Mus musculus: one gene and its partners. The protein of the gene in region 1 binds, or shares a complex with, the protein of each later gene. Links are inferred from orthologs where the notes say so. Each region holds a gene or a part of one and is shown in the gene's direction. Other genes may lie near its edges. The genes, in order: Ppih, Usp39, Lsm6 and Prpf6.

What was found.
Region 2: Ppih (region 1) and Usp39 share a complex: the UniProt entries of both Homo sapiens proteins name them as parts of the U4/U6-U5 tri-snRNP complex. The link is inferred for Mus musculus from reciprocal best matches to the Homo sapiens genes PPIH and USP39.
Region 3: Ppih (region 1) and Lsm6 share a complex: the UniProt entries of both Homo sapiens proteins name them as parts of the U4/U6-U5 tri-snRNP complex. The link is inferred for Mus musculus from reciprocal best matches to the Homo sapiens genes PPIH and LSM6.
Region 4: Ppih (region 1) and Prpf6 share a complex: the UniProt entries of both Homo sapiens proteins name them as parts of the U4/U6-U5 tri-snRNP complex. The link is inferred for Mus musculus from reciprocal best matches to the Homo sapiens genes PPIH and PRPF6.

What each region holds. Positions count from the first base shown.
Region 1 is NC_000070.6:119,316,429-119,322,209, reverse strand, and holds the start of Ppih (peptidyl-prolyl cis-trans isomerase H), read left to right. Parts: upstream 1-1,686; 5' UTR 1,687-1,735; coding exon 1,736-1,801; intron 1,802-1,976; coding exon 1,977-2,041; intron 2,042-2,356; coding exon 2,357-2,380; intron 2,381-2,645; coding exon 2,646-2,690; intron 2,691-3,623; coding exon 3,624-3,666; intron 3,667-5,089; coding exon 5,090-5,182; intron 5,183-5,781. UniProt on the Homo sapiens protein: PPIase that catalyzes the cis-trans isomerization of proline imidic peptide bonds in oligopeptides and may therefore assist protein folding. Participates in pre-mRNA splicing.
Region 2 is NC_000072.6:72,341,280-72,347,131, reverse strand, and holds the start of Usp39 (U4/U6.U5 tri-snRNP-associated protein 2), read left to right. Parts: upstream 1-1,956; 5' UTR 1,957-1,982; coding exon 1,983-2,247; intron 2,248-4,163; coding exon 4,164-4,233; intron 4,234-5,852.
Region 3 is NC_000074.6:78,806,759-78,811,946, reverse strand, and holds part of Lsm6 (U6 snRNA-associated Sm-like protein LSm6), read left to right. Parts: intron 1-1,886; coding exon 1,887-2,000; intron 2,001-3,701; coding exon 3,702-3,736; 3' UTR 3,737-5,188. UniProt on the Homo sapiens protein: Plays a role in pre-mRNA splicing as component of the U4/U6-U5 tri-snRNP complex that is involved in spliceosome assembly, and as component of the precatalytic spliceosome (spliceosome B complex).
Region 4 is NC_000068.7:181,606,969-181,612,264, forward strand, and holds part of Prpf6 (pre-mRNA-processing factor 6), read left to right. Parts: intron 1-1,151; coding exon 1,152-1,320; intron 1,321-5,296. UniProt on the Homo sapiens protein: Involved in pre-mRNA splicing as component of the U4/U6-U5 tri-snRNP complex, one of the building blocks of the spliceosome.

The sequences.
Region 1 (5,781 bases):
AACATCCACCCTCCTCGAAGCTGGGCATGCAGGCATGTGGAGGGTACCCAGTTTGACACATGGGTGTTGGAACACTCTAGTCCTCCTGAGCCATCTCTCCAGCCCCAGTTCCAAAAGAATATAGCAATCCATGTATGTAATTTCAGCACTTGGGAGGCTGAGATAGGAAGTTGGAAGAGTTCAAAGCCAACCCATGATACACAGCAAGACTGTCTTAAAATTAAAAAAAAAAGTGAAAAAATGTTTCAAAAAAGACCTTAAGCTGGGCAGTGGTGGTGCATGCCTTTAATCCCAGCACTTGGGAGGCAGAGGTAGGCAGATTTCTGAGTTCGAGGACAGCCTGGTCTACAGAGTGAGTTCCAGGACAGCCAGGGCAATACAGAGAAACCCTGTCTCAAAAAACCAAAAGCAAAAACAAAACAAAACAAAAACCAAAAAACCTTAAAGGGTGTAACAACCAGGGCTGGAGAGATGGCTCAGTGGGTAAGAGCACTGACTGCTCTTCCGAAGGTCCTGAGATCAAATCCCAGCAACCACGCCCTCTTCTGGGGTGTCTGAAGACAAGTATAGTGTACTTACATATAAGTATCTTTGGGCCGGAGCAAGCATGAGAGAAGGAAAAGAGGGGGGGGGGGTAGCAACTGAATGCCCTCCAAAACAGAGGCAGAAGGGTACTTGGTAAAAGTGGTATAAGAGAAGCCAGCCTTTACTTCCTGGTCTTTGCTACCAGCAGTGGCAAACAGCATTTTAAATAGGCAAAGCCCCATACGATTTACTAGCCTAGAGACCCATCCCATGGGCAAACAACAATCCCTGAGACTGTTGTGCTTGCAGACAGGAACCTCGCATGGCTGTCCTGAGAGACTCCACCCAGGAGCTGACTCAGGGATGCAGAGACCACAGCCAAACATCCGATGGAGCTTGAGGACTCCTGAGGGCCTCCGAGGGGATTGGAACTCCACAGGAAAACCAAGAGTCAACTATGACCCTTGGGGCTCTCAGAGACTGAACCACCAACCAAAGAGCATAGACAGGCGGGACCTAGCCCCCTCCCACACACACACGGTCTTTCATGTGGGTCCCGAACAACTGGAGTAGGGGCTATCCCAAAAGCTGTTGCCCTGCTGTGGAATTCGTTTCTTCTGCTTGTCTGGACTCAGTGGGAGAGGATGAGGCCAGCCCTGCAGAGACTTGATGTGCTAAGGTGGAGGGAAAACCAGAGGGGGTCTCTACCCTCTCAGAGGAGAAGAGAAGGAGGGGGTGGGGAAACCGGGAGAGGCGGCAGCACTGGGGATGTAAATGTGAATTAAAAAATAAAAAATTTTACAATCATAAGAAAATAAATAAAATTACATTTCCAGCACCCGACTGAGCCAGGCTACAGTAACAAACCATTTTAAAATATGGAAGGTGACTCAGGGATCCTCGGCTCATGAGCTGTGACAGGGGACACCAAGTGTGACTGCTCAGGACATGCTGTCTGCAGAAGATTCATTTCTATTGCACTAATACAGTCATGCAAGTGGGGAGCCCACAGACTTTGACAAAGATGCCTGCGTTTCCTCCCCTCAGCTCCGACCAGCTCAGCCAAACAGTACCATTCCCAACAACCTCAGCGCGCGCCACACTTCCGGGGCGGGGCGCAATCGCGGTCCGTTTCCACTGCGTCTGCGCTCCGGATGAAGTTCGCGGGACCTGCCACCGGAAGCCGGGTTTCTACTTCCGGGTCAAAGCCATGGCGGTGGCAAATTCAAGTCCAGTCAATCCAGTGGTCTTCTTCGATGTCAGCATTGGCGGCCAGGTGAGGTGCGGGCGACCTAGCGGCCCGTGCGGGCTGGTTGGCCTCGGGTAAGGGAGGCAGCCCCTTATAGCCCTCCCGAGACCGGCTGGGCCAGGCGGCGGAGGGAGGTGGGAGCTTTCGAGCTTCGTGGACAGCGGTCGTGAGCTGAGTGTTGCGTCTCCCGTTTCTTCTGCAGGAAGTTGGTCGCATGAAAATCGAGCTCTTTGCAGACGTGGTGCCTAAGACGGCAGAGAACTTTAGGTAAGGATATGCTCCAAGTGAACCAGAGCTGAGCCCGAAGCCGGCCTCCAGTCGGTCTTTGCCATGTCTGCCTCTGTCCATCTATTCATTGCCTTGCAGCTCTGTGGTCTGGGTATTTCACTGGCCAAACAGCTACCGGCTGTGACTGATCCCATATCAACTTCTATCACTAGTCTACCTGCCCTGACATCCGCCCGATCAGTTAGTTGGCGGACATACTGGCCCCAGTGTTTGAACTCTCCTCTCCAGAGATTAGAGGTGCTTCAAGCAGTGATCGTACGAAGGCTAAATCGTTTGCTCTCTCTTTCCCTTTAGGCAATTCTGCACCGGAGAGTTCAGGTCAGTCTCAGATGTGTTTGATTTCTCTGCCTACTCCTGAAGGGGTGCCCTGGATGTTTGGTGAGGGTATTGGAGAACCATGAACAGGTCTTAAGTAATGGAAGATGATATGCAGAGAGAGGGTGACACCTTGAATGGGTTCTTTCTCTCTCTTTTTCCCCCTCCAGATCTTAGTGAGAGCCCTTTTAGCCTCTGGTGTAGCCTAAATGGGAAAGGCCCACCATTGTGTTTCCCCATTCCAAGTCTCTTCCTTCTTTGTTTACAGAAAAGATGGCGTTCCGATAGGATACAAAGGAAGCACCTTCCACAGGTAAGGGAGGTTTTTGGAAAACTGGAAATGCAGTCATTGCTTGGTATCTGTACAGGCAGTCCTGCACACCTGAGTTCAAACTCTGTGAGGCTTACGGCTGTTGTTTTAAATGGCATGTTCGCGGCTGAGGCTGTAGCTCGGTGGTAGAGAATTGGCCCAGCATTCATAAGGCCCTGGATTTGGTACTGAACACCATGAAGCCTATGCACAGCGCCTTAAGTCATCCCTGACTTGGTGGAATGCTGTATTGCAGAAACGATGCCAAGGAAAGCATGCTGTACCCTTTCAGTACCTGTTCAGTACAGGTGCGTGGCCACGTGCTCCCAGAGGTCTAAGCTCAGATCCTTAGGCTGCCACAGCAAGCACTTCACCCACTGACCCATCTCCCTGGCGCCAGTCAGGACTTCAGCAGAGGCTTTGCTAGTTACCGTTGCTAGGCAGTCATCTGTAGGAGCCTGGCTTTCATGATATATTTACTTATTTTTTGTTAGAGTTTGACAGAAGTTGCTCTATTCTAATCCTGAAAATGTCCATGTCTCCCACATAAGGGCTTTAAAGCTACAGTCTGTAACCCTCCCTAGCATTCTTGTGAAGTAGTATGTGTTTTCCGAGTTCTTCAAGGAAGGCTAAGCAAAGCGAAGGGCCATAGCTGGTGTACTAGCTAACACCATCAAGTCTCTGTGTGTGCAGTAGTCCATTCACCTAGATTTGCTGTTGTTCTTTTCCCCCAAATTGCAATAAGCCCTGGACATGATTTTTTCCTTTGGTGACTGTTGGTGATTCTAGCCTGGTTTCAGCCCCTTCCTGATGTTCAGGTGCGAACTCACGCATCTAAGATCAACTGAGTTAAGACTGTACTTGCTCGCCCTTTTCTAAGCTTCAGTGATTAATCCACTGAATCTTTTCTCAGGATTTTTTTTTTAACTGTTTCAGGGTCATAAAGGATTTCATGATTCAGGGTGGAGATTTTGTTAATGTAAGTACTGCTTCTTTTCTTTGTTATTTTTTTCTGGCAGGGCCCTAGTCTTGAGACTTAAGAGCAATAGCTAAGTTAAGTGGAGAGGGCATGGGATGTACTGTAGAGTTGCTGGCTACCACTGACTGTGTCCTTAGAACACATAACAATACTCTACTGAACCATAAACTTCCACTTTCCAAACCCTAGCTGTTTGTAACTAGAAACTGGGCTTTGCTGGCATACCTATAGGTGATCTGAGACGGTCCACATTCATTGTTCACAGAAAACTTTGAAATTGACTGCAATTTTTCCCTCAAAAGGAAGGGAGCTGACTGCTTTTGTCTCCCATTTTTCCTTCCACATCTGCACATCTTCTGTCACTGTCTAAAAACTCTAGTTTTTTGTTGGATTGCTCTGGGGGGGGTTAGGGGCCGGTCTTTCTTTCTCTTTTCCTTTTGAAAGCTAAGGTATTAATCACAAGCTGGTTAGCAAGCAAGGGATCAGATCAGGAGAGACAGGAAGTTTAAAGGGTGTTCGCTTGCTTGCTGAGGTAGCCCAGCAGATCCATTCTTCACAAAAAGACCATGACTGTTGGTGTCTCCATCCTTCCTTGGAGTGTGTCCAATAAGCTAGAATATCTCTTTCTTAAACCAGCTCTTTCCTTACCCATCCACCTCTGTGCATGCTGTCTCCTTGCTGTTAGCATTGTTTATGTGGGTGTGTTACTAAGTCCTTTTGTCTGAGAGATGGTCTTACTCCATCAGTTGTAAATTTAGTTAGATTTTTGTGAGTCTTTAGAGGTCTTCCTCCTACACAGGGTTGCAATGGCAGGCTTTAGGCTGAATCCTGCTTCCACTTAGGCTGCATTTTAACTATGTGATACTACTGGGAAATCTGGGGGACTGGAGAGATCGCTCAGCAGTTACACTGTTGACTCTTCAGAAGACCCAGGTTTGATTCCCAGCATCTACATAGCCATCTGTAACTCCAGCTCCATGAATCTGAAAAACAAATATGGGAGGGTTTGGGGGCAGAAAGCGAAGGGGCAGTGATGTGATTATAATCCCCAAAAACCTAAAATAAAATTTTAAATAATAATAAATGAATTTTAAAAAGGGAAAAAAGAGCTGGGCTTAAAGTGCAACAGTGTTTCTCCACACATCCAGTGTGTGTGTGTGTGTGTGTGTGGTGTGTGCGTGCACACATGTGCTCAAGAGCATGCAGGTGTACAAGCCCATGGATGTTGGGGCCAGAGGCAGACATGTGGTGTGCTCTGTCAGTCACTACCTTACTACCTGGAGACAAGGTTTCACTAGATGAGAAGCTGCTTGGTTCAGCTAGGGCAGCTGGCTGGCTAGCTCCCCTTAGCACTGCACCATTCTCCCTGGCCTTCCAGGGTGTGCAGCACTCCCGGCCTCTGATATGTCTCTTTTCTACTCAGGGCGATGGCACTGGAGTCGCCAGTATTTACCGGGGTCCATTTGCGGATGAAAATTTTAAACTTAGACACTCTGCTCCAGGCCTGCTTTCCATGGTAAGTGAGGTTCGGTTAAGATTTGGGGTTAGATCAATGGCTGGTTTCTGGTGCTTTGTTGAGGCTTAGGTCTGTCTCTTGGAATCAGGCCTCACCTGCACCTAGCCCTCCTCCTTCCTTAGTGTGCTTTGATTCTGTTGGGCAGGTGCAAGCAGCTGTGGAAAACACTGAGCTCTGACTTGGGCCTTTGTTTGCACCAAGACTGGCTTTAGCCTCAGTGGTGTGCAGGCTTCCAAGGCTGGTATTCACCTTCGTGTGGCCCTGGTAGCCGTGATTCACTCACCACCATCGTGACCACACACGTGCTTTCTCCCTCTCCAAGCTCATCCTTTCTATCCCCACATCTTGATATCTCTTCCCCACTCCTGGCCCTGCTCAGACTCCCTCATACCTTCATCCAGCTCACCTCTGCTCATTGCTTGCCCACTTCACCTTGCTCACTCTCCTCCCTCTTTTTCCCTTACTCACTCCTCTTGCCCCCACTTCCCATCCCTGCTTTACCCATCCTGCTATCAATGTCCCAATCCTTACCTCCTGGGTCCCAGTATTTACGTGGATATTCTCTCTCCTGCTCACCTACTCTGCACTCATCTTCTCAG
Region 2 (5,852 bases), on another chromosome or scaffold:
ATTCGAGTCATCCACGAATACTGAAAATGCATTCTATTAGTCTAGAGATGTTGACTTTCTTTTCCTAGCCCTTTAGTATAATAAACTTCACTATGAGATCATATGCGTGTGTCTATGTGTTGTGTGTATCTACTTTGCTCCTGTCTTTAAAGCTAGATTCTGCTCATGAGAAATATTTTGTCATCTCCATCACCTCTGCTCCATCTTCTTTTAGACCCCCTCCTTGCCTCCTATAGTTCTCTCCCCTTCTCTCCCCTCTTACACACACACACACACACACACACACACACACACACACATACACACTTAAAATCTAGGTCCTACATATGGGAAAAACATGCAATATTGGTGATTACTCTTTCTAAATTATACTGAATTCGCTTAACATCTTTAGGTTCACCATTTCCCTACAAATGACATTTCTTTATGGCAGAATTAAAGAAGACATGTTAATATATGCCACTTGGTTGACTCTTTAATCTAAATGTGCCTAGGTTTCCTTAATTTTGTTTTTGTAGTGTGTGTGTATAGGCAAGAGGACGACACTGGGTGCTCTTGTCTGTATTCTCTACCTGTTCCTTTGAGATAGGGCCTCTCACTTAACCTGTAATTCAGCTGACAGCCACCAAGCCCTAGTGGTCCTCCTGTCTCCATTTCCCACATGGCTAGGACTATAGGCATGAGCCCACTGTCAGCTTTTTCCACGGGTGCTGGAGTTTTGGACTCATGCTTGGACAGTAAGCTTTCTCACCAATTGAGCCAATCTCCTCCGTTTGTTTGCTTATTAGTGGACATACTAAAAACATCTGTCTCTGATAGGCAATGAGGCAGACAAGTGCTCACGTAGGTAAGTTTTCCCCACCCATACCCAGTCCCTATTTCAGCCACATTGGAGCTGCACTGCTGGTGTCCAGACCACTTGCTTAACTGACCATGAGAGGAACCAAGGCTTTTGAGGGTCTAATAGTGCATAGCCTTCTCTTGTTTCTTTCCTTCTGGCATGTAGCCTAGGATAGTCTTGAATTAACTATGTAGCTCAGTTGGCCTTAAACTTTGGGATTTGTTTTGCCTGATCCTGAGAGTATAGCTTTCCAAGTTTTCAGTTTAAAATGTAAACATCAGAAACTTATTAGAGCAGTGACAGAATCAAGTGCATCTGCTTGATGGAATTGTTATATTGAAAGTAAAGGAACAGACTGCCTTACCCTAGACGTGAATGAGACCTGGTCAGAAAGAGGAAACACCGACTCATACTTGAACATAAAATTCTAGGAAATGTAGTCACTATTGTGGTTTGGGTGGGATTCCACGTGGGCACAGGACATTTCTGGGGTGAGACAAGTTTCTTCTCTTGAATCTGTAAGTGTTCATACATCGCAATTTAGCAAATTAGACACATCAAACGTGTACTATCTTGTATATCAATTATACTTCGATGGAACTGTTCAAATAGGCAGGGACTAAGGCATGACTCAGTGGTAAGGCTGAATTTGAAGTTTTATTAGCTAAACAATAAATGCGCCTTAGCAGAGTATTTGCAAACTCATTTCAAGAGCCCTTTAAATATGATACTAATTGAAGTTCCCAGGTACAAGCCTGAATGAAGGAGTTAATTTGGGAATACTGACTCCTTTTCCTGTGTAGGTCATCAGTCCCTGATCAGGGGACATCTCTGGATCGTCGTTTCGAGACACAAATTGTCCTGAAGCTATCTCGGGTGGAGTGCTAGCTTCCTTTTCCCTAAAATGAAAGTAGCCTGTGAAAGGTTCCTATTTAAGCCGTGAAGAGATGTTGGACAAGGACACAATATGTTCGAAACTATCTCGGTTGGGCCAGCAGCGCTTATAACGTTTTATAAGCCTGTATTGTCCCTCACAGCGACTCGTAGCGCGCTGCGTTTCTATGAGGCCATCTCGACTTCTGATTGGCTGCTTGCTGCCCGTGCTCGGCGCCGGCGCGGAAGCTCCTAACTGGTGGTGGCGATGTCTAGCCGGTCCAAGCGGCAGTCCCATGGTTCCACCCGCGGGAAGCGTGAGTCCGAGTCTCGTGGCAGCTCGGGTCGCATCAAGAAGGAGCGAGACCGTGAGAAGGAGCCCGAGGCGGCGAGCTCCCGGGGTAGCCCGGTCCGCGTGAAGCGGGAGGCCGAGCCGGCTGCGCGAGAGGTCCCGGCGCCCGCGCTCCCGGTCGTGCGGGTGAAGCGTGAGCGCGAGGCCGATGAAGACTCGGAGCCCGAGCGGGAGGTGCGAGGTGCGCGGGGCCGGGCCGGGCGCGTCCTCTTCCTTCGCCTGCTTTCTTCTTTCTCCTCCTATATTTTTAAAGACGGGTCTCAGGAACTTGAAGTTGTAACCAGAGATGGCCTTAGACTCTTGCTTCCCCTTCTTGAAGTCTGAGATGCCCAGTTTTTGTCTGCTTTTTACTTTTCCTTTCTTCTGCCTCCCTGACCAGGCTTGAATCCAGCAGGCTGGATTGCCTGTCATAATACATCACAGCATCTCCCTATTCACGTATAGCCTACGTGGGTCAGGTGCTCTACTGACGACTGTACAGATGGACCCTTCTCCGTTCCCCCCCACCCCCCACAAATTCCTAAGAGTCAGAGTCATGTTGTAATTTTTGGAATAAGACCATTAGTTGAGTCCCAGTGCACTCAACTCAAGTATTGACTTTGTACTAGTTGAATAGTTTGGAGACACTAATGCTTCTCCTGGGTTTTGCATGGGGGTTGTTCCATGTTGTCTTGTAAAGGATGCTGATGTAATGACCAGCCTTGGGAGACAGATAGTATTATTCCATAGAGCAATAGGTAGGGAGTAAGGTCACAAGAAGATATAATCTTCTTTAAGGGCAGGGATCTTCTGTAAGGCAACCCACTATGAGCACTGGTTCTTTTTCTATTCTATTATGGGACTTAACTCTAGGATCTGGCAAAGATGTCATATAATAGGGTACTGTTATTGCTGTAGTAGACTCTTTGTTTTAGTCTGTGATCATGTGGCTTCTGTCAGCATCCATGAAGCTGTGTCAAGCTAACACATTAGGGTTAACTTTAGTTAGAGTTAACACATTAGGATTAACTCTCAGAACCAATACAGTTCTTGTACTAATAGTAGATTTAAGGATATTCAGCTTATCTTAGTACTTGTGATATATTTCATGATACTTTTCCTGCCCATTTGATATTTATTTATTTATTTATTTGCTTATTTAGGCAGGCTCTTACTAAGTAGCCCTGGCTGTCTTGGAACTTTGTCGGTAGGCCTCAAACTCAGAGATTTCACCTAGCCTACTCACTCAAGGGCTAGGATTAATGTACACCACCAATGCCTGGCATTTATTTATGTGTATGCATGTACCATGGTGTATGTGTGGAAGTCAGTGGGCAACTTGTGGGAGTCCGTTTTCTCTCCTAGCCTGTGTGTCACAGGGATTGAACTCAGATAGTTGGGTTGCTGGTAAGCACCTTTACTAAGCCATCTCACTTGCCTGGATTCCTTTATGTAATATATAAATTAATCTTTCATTGGTTATATATGTAATAGACCTACTCTTAGTTTGCAACTTATTTCATTAGTGGCCTTTTTTTGAATGTTGTCACTAAAGGAAATGGAAAAGCTCATCTTTTTGAGATGTGTGTGTGTGTGGTCCCTGGCTGTCCTAGAACCTAACCTAACTGATCAAACTCTCCCAATCTTAGTGATCAAATGTTCCCATTTCGGTGATTTTGTTTTGTTTTGTGTTTGCTTGTTTTGTGCCTGTGATTTGAGGAGAGCCTCCAGTCCTCCATTTATGATGCTGGAGCAGATCTTGGCTGTGCTAGTTAAGTGTTCTACCACTGAGCAGATCTTGCCTGTGCTAGTTAAGTGTTCTACCACTGAGCAGATCTTGGCTGTGCTAGTTAAGTGTTCTACCACTGAGCAGATCTTGGCTGTGCTAGTTAAGTGTTCTACCACTGAGCAGATCTTGGCTGTGCTAGTTAAGTGTTCTACCACTGAGCAGATCTTGCCTGTGCTAGTTAAGTGTTCTACCACTGAGCAGATCTTGCCTGTGCTAGTTAAGTGTTCTACCACTGAGCAGATCTTGCCTGTGCTAGTTAAGTGTTCTACCACTGAGTTACTTTCCAGCACAAGTTTCCCATTTAACAGCCTGTATGGATTTCTTCTCAGCAAAGAATGGCCGAGTGGATTCTGAAGACCGGAGGAGTCGTCACTGCCCGTACTTGGATACCATTAATAGGTCAGTAATATAGAAAGGCTGAGGGCAAGACTTGGTGATGTATCTCAGTAGTAGAGCAGTTGCCTGGCATGTCATAAGCCCAAGGTTTAATCACCAATACTATGCAAACAAACAAAATCAGTGGATTTTTAAAAATTTACTTTTATTTTATGTATGTTGGTATTTTGCCTGCATTTATGTCTGTGTGAGAGTGTCAGATCCCCTGGAGCTGCATGGATGTCTGTGGGAGTACCGCATCCCCTGGAACTGGAGTTACGGATAGTTGTGAACTCTCACGTGGGTGCTAGGAATTGAACAACTGGAAGAGCAGCCAGTGCTCTTAACTGCTAAGCCATCTCTCCAGCCCCATCAGAAGATTTTGAGATGCAGAATACAGTAGAAAATTCTCTAAACAGAGCATTGAAGCATTCTAACTCTCCTCCTTTTATGCCTGTCTGCCTAGAAAATTGTGCTTCTCACCATGCTCAGCCATGTTGTCCCTTTATAGTGGCAGAGTGCGCTTTTTGTTTTGTTTTGTTTTTTGAGATGTGTGTGTGTGTGTGGTCCCTGGCTGTCCTAGAACCTAACCAGGTTGTTGTCCTTGAACTCAGGGATTTGCCTGCCTCTGCCTCCTGAGCGCTGGGATTAAAAGCCTGCACCACCTTGCCTTTGAAGGTACTTTAATATCAGCCTCAGCACACAGGTTAAAGGAAAGAGCTTACAAGAAAGATACAGATTTTAAAAACTGGTTGAGTGTGTATTACTTTTAGCTTCAGAAGATATCATGTATATTTAAGAGGCATTTAACTAAATTTTTAAATTATTTTGGTGACTTAAAAAAAGTCAATACTGAGTTGTATATTTTAAAATAAATTTTATTAGTTTAAAAAAAAGAAAGTAAGATACACTAAAGAGCATGGTCATGGGGTTCTCAGAGGAGAATTCCTAGACTTTTGTTGTTATTTATGTGTATGTGTGTCCCTGCACAAGGTCATGTGCATGAGGGGCCTGTGGAGGCCATAAGAGGCCCCAACTCCCTTTGAAGTGAACTTGTGGGTGGCTGTGTGGGTGCTGCAAACTGAACTCTACCTGTCTGCAAGTGCTCTGAACCATTGAGCCGTCTCTTCCAGTCCCCAAAGTTTTGATTTGTTTCCTTGTTTTTGTATGGCAGAGACAGTCCTCTTTTCTTGTATATTCTCTGGTTTTTCAGTTGTCCTCAACCTATCTTCTAGAATGATGCTCTCCAATAGAATTCTCCACAACAGAGAATTGGGTTTTAAAATGTTGTTTGTTTTTTGAAACAAGGTTCTGATATATGGCCCAGGCAAACATTGAAATCTTAACTCTCCAACCTAAGCCCTGAGTGTAGGGGTTGTAGGTGCCCCACCAAACCCATCAGCAGTTGCTCTTAAGAGGGGATGTTTGCTGTGGGAAGCGCAGGCTACACGAGGCTCTTGGTGGTTTGACATGCGGCTTATATAGTTGAAGCACTAATTTCTTAGTTTGCTTGTGTTGTGTCACTGGAAATCAAATCCAGGGTATTTATGCTGGACGTGCCTTACCACCTCAGCCCCGGAACTAAACTTAAACTTAGTTAACAATAACCACATGTGGCTAATGGTCCCTCAGCAGTACAGCTG
Region 3 (5,188 bases), on another chromosome or scaffold:
TTAAGAAATTGCTGACTCAGCAGATAAGAGCACTGGCTGCTCTTGCAGAGGACCCAGATTCAGTTCCCACCACCCACGAGGCATCTCACAACCGTCTCTAACTCCAGTTCCAAGGGATCCGATGCCTCTTCTGACCTCTGGAGGCAGAAGACAATGCACATGCAGGGGAGACACTCGCACATATAAAATGAAAATAAATATTTAGTAACCCACTAAGTTCTAGCACAGGGTATAGTAGTTCTAGTAGGAGGGTTCCACCCCCAGCACTGCCAAAAGGTAAGGGGCTAGAGAAATGGCTCTGCAGTTAGGAGTGCATAATGCTCTCCAAGAGGACCTGGATTCTATTCCTGGTGCTCACATTGGCAGCTCCCAACCTCCTGGAACTCCAGCTCCAACCTCTGGCCTCTGAGGACACCTATACTCGTGTGCATGTACCTACACCCATACACACCATAACAAGTAAAATGAAATCTTTAAAAACATAGAGGGGGAAATCACTTTGTTTTTGTCTTAGTTTTTTGACGTAAATAGCCTGTTGCCAATATTTTGTGTATGTTTGGTTACTTGCTTTTGAGTCAGGGTCGTCCTATGATAGCCAGCTATCTTCAAGCCCTTTTTCTTTCTGCTTGTTCCCTCCCAGTCTCAACTCACAAACAGTGAATAATAGTGATGTTACATTTTGAATGACCCTGTTGTCTAATTCCATATCATGCAGTGCAAGTTTCCTACTCGTCTCTGAATATGCTTTCAGTGTAGCATAGCAGAGAAGAAGCAAACTGGGAGACTGTCTTAAGCTTTCTTTGGCTAGGAAGTTATTGTTCTTGATAGTTGACAGTCCAGTCTGATTCTTTGAAAGTTTATCCCTTCTCATAGAATTCTGTTCGGTTAATGTCTTGTGCTCAGATTACACACACAGAGATTTGAAAAGAAACCTCTGTCTAGAGGATAATGGGGGCAGAGCAGAGAGCCAGGAGCATATTAATGAAGTTAAGATCTTAAATGGGACTATTGACTTAGTTAATTGAATTGAATCTGTGGTGTGTTTTTATTCTCTTTTAAAATATCAGTTTTGCTTAGAGATGAGAATTAGAAGCTTACTAGCTTCATCTTTTGAAAAAAATCTTCTGGTCAGATTTTAGAAATTTATGCCATCTTAACACGAGTAAAAATCCACCCGAGCTGTTTTCCTTGAAAGCTCCCTGGCATGTTTGTAGCCGTTTTTCTCTATTAGTTTTGATTTTAAAAATAGTCCAACTCTGACAAAACAGAATGCAGTGTGTTGTAATGCAATATGTTGCTCTCTGTTCCCAAGCTGCTCCTCGCTGAGAGCCACAGCTCTGAGATGGTCTCTCAGGAGCACCTGCTGTCTATTATCTTAACAGATTGTGGAGACTTCCTCTTCACCCTGGGTCCATTCATCTGCTGCAGTAGATGTTGTGAAAGACTGAGACAAACTGCCAGATCCCTATTTCACCGAGCGAGCGAGTGGCTGAAGTAACAAATGTCACCTCGATGGAGGCTCATTTGTCCCTGCATAGTTGCCATGTCTGTCCCGGGCTCCCATAGAAGGGCATTTTGGTTGGAATATTCTAATGCTTATACTTTTGTGAAGGCTTTCAAAGTTGCTGTGGTGAGCACACGTCCCAGGAGGGAGTGACAGTTGGCTGCCTGTCTTGTGGTGGATGCACAGCTCCTCTCATGCTCTGCCCGCCCAGCCTTCATTCACAGGGGCACCGAGGAAAGGCAGGCGCCTTTTGTGTTTAAGTCTATTGAGTTTTGTTTACAGTGTGAATTTTTATATTATGTGTCTGAAGGCTAATGAATAAAGTGATTGTCAGTTCTAAGATATAGCCTGTAATTTTGAATTCTGTCTTACTTTTCTCCAGGGGTCCTGGCCTGCCTGGATGGCTACATGAATATAGCCCTGGAACAGACAGAGGAGTATGTAAATGGACAGCTGAAGAATAAGTACGGAGATGCGTTCATCCGAGGAAACAATGGTAAGAGCTTCCCTTCCATTGAGTGTTCAGAATAGGCCGTTCCTGCGTGTAATAGGGAGCTGCGGGGCGTCTAAGTGTTAAGGTTCTCTTTACTTTTGCTTGTTTGTTGTACTTATATTTTAGGTCTTTAGTATAAACCAGGTCTGTTTGTGAGTGGGAAGAGGATTTTCCATGGAGGTTGGAACTAGAAATTCTCTTTCTCAGTTGCTGAGGGGTATTGGTATACTAAGCAGGCCCATTAGACCAGGGACCCAGAGGGTGTGCGGCACACAACCACATACTGTACTCTCGCAGTGCTGTCTGGGAGTGGAAGCCATCCTGTGCCACAAAACGCCCTTGACATTTAGCCTGTCCTTTGTCCTTTTTCTGTTCAAGATTTAGGTGCCTTTTGTGGAGCTTTGTACCTTTCCGTGTGTCAGAAGTAGGACAGAAGGCGTGGCTCTCAAGTTCTCTTCTTAAAAGCCTTAAAAGTTAGGTCTCGTTAGGAATTAAATATCCTGACTTTTGTAGACATACCTTGCTTGCAGTTCAGTAGAATTTCTTCTATTTCATGTTATTCTTACTTGCCCTCCTCCTTTTGCTTGGAAATATTATGCTCTTAAGTAGCCCCCATAGCAGGAGCCATTCCTACACTGACATCCACCTAGCCTGTCTGGTTTCCCAGGCAGTGGCTTTCCTCCTATTCTGATGGCTCCTACACTTTACTGCCATCCTCAGTAACAGGTGTCATTATTCCTACTACTTGTAGTTGGGTCTTAAAGAGGATCCTAGTTCACTTGATTGAAGTCTGTGCTGGACTCTTTGAGGAAACATCTACTGTTCACTTTGAACAAGCTTGTTCGTATCTGAAGATGTGTGGGATGGGAGAGGGAGGGTACACCTTAGGTGACAGCCTGACCAGAGCCCCTTTTGTCCTATCTCTGTGCAGCACACATTCCACTGTGCTAAGAATGACTGGCGAAAATACATGTTGGATGACACCAAAGGTTTATACTAATCTCAGAATAAGGACTTTGCTTTCTTAAAAATGTTTTCTCATTTTTTTCCTCCTATGGAAATTATCAGAGTAAACCAATTTACAGAGTAAACTGGGGAGATAAACGAAAATAATGCCATTTCTTTCTTTTACATTTTTTTCATGTGTATGAGTGTTTGTCTGCATGTCTGTAAGTACATCATATGCGTGCCTGGTAGTTGAGGAGGCCACACAAGGTCACTGGACTCCCTGGAACTAGATTTACAGTTGGTTGTGAACTGCTTTGTAGGAATTGGGGACCCAGCCCTGTTGCTCCGTAACATCTGCAAGTTACATCTGCTCTTAAGTGATGGGCGTCGTCTCTCCAGACACATGTGCTAGTCATTCTGAATGTGACACCTAACCTAACAGATCTGGCTGATTCGCCCTTTTCAAAACTTGTGATATAGCTATTTACAAATCATTCTTACATTTTAGGCACTTTCACTTTTCTAATTCCCAGTCATAATTTGTAAAGTCAGTAACATGCATAGATAAGACTAGTTATAATCAGGTAAGATGTCCAAGCCCGGTCTAGACGCAAAGCTTGTTTTATAGAGACCTTCATTGCATGGTAGAAACAGTCTTTTAAAGTGTTCGAGGTGTAGGCCAGGACCCATGAATGCCTTTAAAACTGAACCGATGCTGTGCCCCTCGAGTGACTGCTCGTTCTCTTGTCTTTCCAGTGCTGTACATAAGTACACAGAAGAGGCGGATGTGAAGACACCAGGAGGCAGTGCTCTTCAGAGATGGATAGATGAAGTGGTTTTGGTTCTCTTACCATCTTAGTTGGCCTGTTTTCATGGTGGCTGGTGGGGGTTTGTTTGTTTGTTTGTTTAATTGACATTGGAATAAGATAGAGGTATTGCATTACAGATCGACTCTTAAGTTTTTCACATTTATGTCTCAGTCTTTATCATTTCTGCCTGTACAGAATGCTAAAACTAAAACAGTTTGTTTCTCCAGGATTATTTTACCTAAGATTCCTGCCCTGTCATTCCATTGGTTGATTACGTATTCAGCTGACTAAGTGGTACATCCCGGAACCTGTGATCAAGCATTCTGGAGGCATCCTTTGTCTCTTTCTCTACTCACCATCCGTACCATTTAAAGCAGGTAGATAGAAAGTCATATGGTTTCAGCCTTGGGCTATAAAGGGACAAGAGGTCAGAAAATCAGCTGTTTATTTAGTCACCTAGTTAGTGGTGGTATCTCCACAAAGGAGTGCAACTGTAGAGTCAGGAATTGGAAAGGTCAGCCACGTGAGGTGAGACACTGCCTGGAAGCCTCCTGTGCAGTTAGACTCTTCATGTTAACTTGCTCCCTGTTGAGAGTGTTGGTGCAATGGCTGGTTACGCCAGCCAGGGGAGGAGCTCTACTGTTCCTGAGAAACTGGCTGTGGCTGAGGTGGTGCAAGCCCAGAGTGCTTAGACTCAGTTTCCAGGCACTGAGCTTCGGCTGCGAAAGTTTCTCCTGCTTTTTGCTTTAGCAAGTGGCCTTGGGGAAAGGGTTGTATTCTTGGCCTTCAGGTCACGTGACTCCCGCTGAGCGGGCTTGTGCTGTCTGTGGACTGTGTGTGGGTGCTTTGGTTGCATGGACGCTAGGGCTTTCCTTACCCTCCTTCAATCTAAACAGATCCCTGTCTCGGGAGGTCGGACAGTTTTAGAGCAATTGCCCGGCTGGAGGAAGTGGAGGCAGATGGACAGCTAAGGAGGGAGGGTGTGCTTTCTGGAGAGGTGTATATATGGCATTTGTCTAATTTAAATAGTAATCAGAAACAATTAATAACTCAGGAAAGAGAGGAGTAAGGTTTGATGGTGTGCACACTGAAAATAAAACACTTTATCCTAAGCTTCAGTAATTCATCACTTCCTGACAGGGGCTTGCAAAGGCACCAGTGTGTAAGTACAAATCACCAATTTGCTCTTTTATAAATGGCTTCTTTAAAGGAGAAAATGGATGTCTCTCGGAGTGGAGCACACATGTTCTCATTTGTTTTTTAGAGTGTGTGAGGCCGCCAGGTTACTGCATCCCTTCATTCATCCCCTCAGCTGCCCTGAAAGCAGCCCTGCTGTTATCTCCAGCAGTCTGTAACATCCCGGCTCTGCTCATTTCTTCCCTGACCTCCCCTCCAGCCTGCAGGTCTTTATTTCCCTCTTGCCATTTCTAGCTT
Region 4 (5,296 bases), on another chromosome or scaffold:
CCTCTCTCTATTTCACAGCATCCTCTCTTCCTGCTAGTGTCCCACCTCCCATTTCCTGACTCAGCTCTTTAGCTATAGGGTTTTTTATTGACAGGTGACACTCATATGAGATTCTCTCTAGACTAATATTCCCCTTTTTTTTTTCTTTTCATCCCTTCTCCTCCCTTCTCTCCAGCAGTAGATAGGAGAGAAAGGATAGAGGAAAGAAAGAGAAAAAGCAGTCCCCTGAATGTAACCTCCCTTGTTTTGTTTCCTCCCTGACCAAACCATTAACAATTTTTTAAAATTTTTTTTCGAGGCAGGGTTTCTCTGTGTAGCCCAGGCTGTCCTGGAACTCACTTTGTAGACCAGGCTGGCCTCAAACTCAGAAATCTGCCTTTTAAAAATTTTTTTCGAGTTAGGGTTTCTCTGTGTAGCCCTGGCTGTCCTGGAACTCACTTTGTAGACCAGGCTGGCCTCGAACTCAGAAATCCGCCTGCCTCTGCCTCCCGAGTGCTGGGATTAAAGGCGTGCACCACCACTGCCTGGCCATTAACAATTTTTAACCAACCCTTCACCCCCTCCATGCCTTTTGATGACAAACACCCATTACCCATTGAATGGCCAAAAACTACTTACCCCACTTTTGGGGAATGAGGTGTCATTTTCTTTCTTTCCTTTCTTTTCTTTTTCTCTTTCTTTCTCTTTCTCTCTCTCTCTCTCTCTCTCTCTCTCTCTCTTTCTTTCTTTCTTTCTTTCTTGTTTTTCGAGACAGGGTTTCTCTGTGTAGCCCTGGCTATCCTGGAACTCACTCTGTAGACCAGGCTGGCTGCGAACTGAGAGATCCGCCTGCCTCTGCCTCCCAAGTGCTGGGAATAAAGGTGTGCGCCACCACTGCCCGGGTGAGACTCAGACTTCTATAGGCCTATATAGTGTGTATATGTGAAGAAGAAATGACACCTTGGAATGAAGAGAAACGGTCTTTGACTTACTCATTATAGGTTACAAGTTTAGCAAACAAAGAAGACCAGGAATGTGTAGGCATCCAGTTCATTGGTTCTAGAATCTCTGGAAGTTCCCAGAAGTGTGAGAAGTGATGTTACTAAATGATGATCAAAAGAGAGCATGGGATCGGGGTCACTTAAATAATGATGTTTCTGGGCTTCCCCTAGTGCCACTGGCTTCACCACCCGATCAGACATCGGGCCTGCTCGGGATGCAAATGATCCTGTGGATGATCGCCATGCCCCACCAGGGAAGAGAACTGTGGGGGACCAGATGAAGAAAAATCAGGCGGCTGATGATGATGATGAAGATCTGAATGATACCAACTACGATGAGGTGATTTTGAAAATAGTTTTTAAAGGTTTACTTTTATTATTTTTAAGTTCTGTGGATGAGTAAGTGTGCACACGAATGCATGGCCTGTGTGCACACAAATGCACGGCCTGGGTGCACATGAATGCACGGCCGGGGTGCACACGAATGTACGGCCTGTGTGCACACGAATGCACGGCCTGGGTGCACATGAATGCATGGCCTGAGGTAGGCAGAGCCACTGGATCTCCCAGGACATGGGTTAGAGGTGTTTGTGACTCTCCCAAAGAGAGTGCTGGGTACTGTGCTAGAGTCCTCTGAAAGAGGAGTTATGCATTCTTAATTGATAAGCTATCTCTCTAATCTCTAAAAAACTGAAGTTTTTTTAGAATATGTTTTGTTTATTATTTGACAACTTCACGTGTGTACAGTGTATTTTGATCCTATCTACTTCTGGTCCACCTCAACCCTAGTACTTCCCAACAGGTCTCTTTCTCATCTCATCTTCATGATCTCTTCTCTTTTTTGGTACCCACAGAGTCAACCCACTGAGTGCAACCTGTTGGAATATTGACTGATGTTAACTTTGTCTTGTTCCCCAATGCAGTAGCTATGTCATACTCAGAAGATAGCATTTCACAGCACCCACCCATCCCTTGCTCTTAGATACCTTTTTTTTTTGTTTTTTTAAGACAGGGTTTCGCTGTGTTCCCCTGGCTGTCCTGGAACTCACTCTGTAGACCAGGCTGGCCTTGAATCTTAGATACCTTTTAACCTCTCATCAATGATTATCTCTAGTTATGAAGGGGCGGATGATATAGATATTTTAGGAATGAGCACTTACTATAATTTATTCTTAGCACTTTGACAATTTGTTAGGTTTTCTTTTCATTCACTGTAGAAGACTACTTTGGTAAAGATTAGGAGTAGCCTGGATCTATGGATATAAACATAAGTAGAAAGCAATTTGACATTTAAAAAAAATCTATCTATTTATCTATCTATTTATTTATTATATGTAAGTATAATATGTATAATATATATATATATATATGTATAATATTATATAAGTATAATATTATATGTAAGTATGTAGCTGTCTTCAGACACCCCAGAAGAGGGCATCAGATCTCATTACAGATGGTTGTGAGCCACCATGTGGTTGCTGGGAATTGAACTCAGGACCTTCGGGAGAGCAGTCAGTGCTCTTTAACTGCTGAGCCATCTCTCCAGTCCCCCAATTTGACATTTCTATTTAGTAAAGCAATAGAAGTAGGTTTCTCCCTATAGCCTGGACCTCCCAAGTCATAGGCTTTTGTGCAGATTTATAGACTCATGTATGAAAATATTACAGTGGAGCAGGCCTCAAGCACTTGGTTAACCCCACCTCTATTGCACCCATGGGTACATTTTGCTTGGAAGACTTGTATTATTGCATTCAAGATTAACTGTTGGATATAAGGCCATTAATGACATTTCTTCCTAAGTGGCCTGCATGACACCTTTCAGCCCTACAAAAGCCAGCCAGCAATAAAAAGTTTCAGGTCAATTCCAGTTTTTCTGGAATTTTCTATGTCCAGCAACCAAAGTGTGTTGTGTCTTCAGCAATAGGGTCTACCATCTTGCTATGGAGGGCAGCCAAGAACAATGCAACAGTTTGTGTTGTTTTAAAGGAACCCTTTGGGGCTTCCTTGACCGGTGAATTCATTGGGAGGCATCCTGTGTTCTGGAACCATCTGTCCAAGAAAGAGACATTGCAGGCTGAATTTCAGGCTTCTCTTTTTTTTTTTTTTTAAAGATTTATTTATTATATGTAAGTACACTGTAGCTGTCTTCAGACACTCCAGAAGAGGGAGTCAGATCTCGTTACGGATGGTTGTGTGCCACCATGTGGTTGCTGGGATTTGAACTCTGGACCTTCGGAAGAGCAGTCGGGTGCTCTTACCCACTGAGCCATCTCACCAGCCCAATTTCAGGCTTCTCAACAGCAGGGGATCAGCCTCTGAAGGACTGAACTCTGGACTCCATTGCAGAGCCTCTTTATTGTTACACAAAAGGTGCCTTTAGCAAGTCAATTTCCAAATACTAAACCTCTTATCTGATCTAGAAGTTGTCTGAGGGAGTTTTTATCCATAGGAGACTTCCTGGTTTGCCAGGTATATCATAGGACTAAGTTATGCACTTCAGATGACAATATTTACAAAAGGCTACTTCTAAATCTAGGTGCCATCACTCCAGAGTTCATATCAGATATAATGGCTCTACTAAAATTCTGCTGCCACATCTGGTCTGAGATTTTCAGTTAATGACCCATGTTTCTTAGCTAGGGTTTCTATGGCTGTGAAGAGACCATGGTCACAGCAACTCTCATAAATGCAAGCGTTTCATTGGGGCTGGCTTAGAGTTTCTGAGGTTCAGTCCATTATCATCATGGCTAGAAGCATGATGGCACGCAGGCCTGACATGGTACAGGAGAGGTCTACATCTGCCTAGACCCACAGACAACAGGAATAGACAGTGATACAGTTCTCTAACAAGGCCACATCTCCTAATGGTGCCACTCCTTGTGGATCTATGGGGACTATTTTTATTCAAACCGCCAAATCTATTCCTGCAGAGTACTTGTGTTCAAACTCTTTTAAAAACAAATTATGGTTTCCAAAGTAGTGGTTTTCCATACATCTTTAGTCTTGGTTAACCCACCCCTACCAACTACTTTCCTGTTTCTTCTCACCCACATTCCCAGTAAAAAAAAAAAAATTTTTTTTTTTTGGAGACAGGGTTTCTCTGTGTAGCCCTGGCTGTCCTGTAACTCACTCTGTAGACCAGGCTGGCCTCGAACTCAGAAATTCGTCTGCCTCTGCTCTTCTCCCCCCCCCCCCCCCAGTGCTGGGATTAAAGGCGTGTGCCACCAACGCCTGGCCTGGCTGGTTAAATTTTTTTTTTTAAAGATTTATTTATTTCATGTATTCACCATTGCTCTCTTTAGACAGACCAGAAAAGGGCATCAGACCTCATTGCAGATGGTTGTGAGCCATCTGCAATGAGGTCTGATGGGAATTGAACTCAGGACCTCTGGAAGAGCAGTCAGTGCTCTTAGCCACTGGGTCATCATCTCTCCAGCACCCCCCTCCCCAAGTTAAATTTTTTTAACTCCTAGTATTCTCTGTGTTCCACTTTCATATCATATTTAAATACACATTAAAATACAACTTTAAAAATCCCACAGTCTTTAAATTTGCCAACACTTTAAAAAGTTCAATATCTCTTTAATTGTGAGCCTTGTAAAATGGAAAACAAGTTATGTATTTGTTTTTAATCCCCAAAGTGTTATGGGGTAACCCAGAGATCAGAGTTTGAATTGAGAGTCTGTTCTGTATTAAGCTCACTAGTGATTGCCTGGAGAAGAACATAGAGCAGCCCCAAGTGCATATTACAGGGAGTTTTTAAAGATGAAGGACACAGAAAAAACTACATCATGGTTGGCAGTTGCAGAGGGAAGCAAACAAGCAATTTAACAAGAGCCAAGCATATGCAGTTAGCTGGGGCATTTCGACCCTGAGTTTCTAGAACAGGGTTGGATATTTGCCCATGGGACTTTTCAGGGCAGGGAGTAGAAACCAAAGATGGCTTCAGCTGAGACAATATGGAGAAACCTTTACCCTATTATAAAGGAAGAGCCAGGGCATAGTTAACTATCAGATTTAAGTAAAACAAAACCCAGTAGTGTATACCCATGCTCTGTAGTTCAATATCTAGCATATAGAATCACTCATGATCTCCTGGGCTTCAAAAAACCTTGGGCAATTGCACTTCTTCAGTTTTGCCGTATGTGGCACACATAGCTTATCTGGTTGCCTCAAGATGACTCTACTTCACCTCTGCCATATTCTTTCTTGGTGGTCATCTCACCTGGCATCTTCAATATCTTGGGGTCTCTATGGCAACTGAGGATACACGTTCACAATAGCCTCTCCTGACACTATCACATGGTACAAAG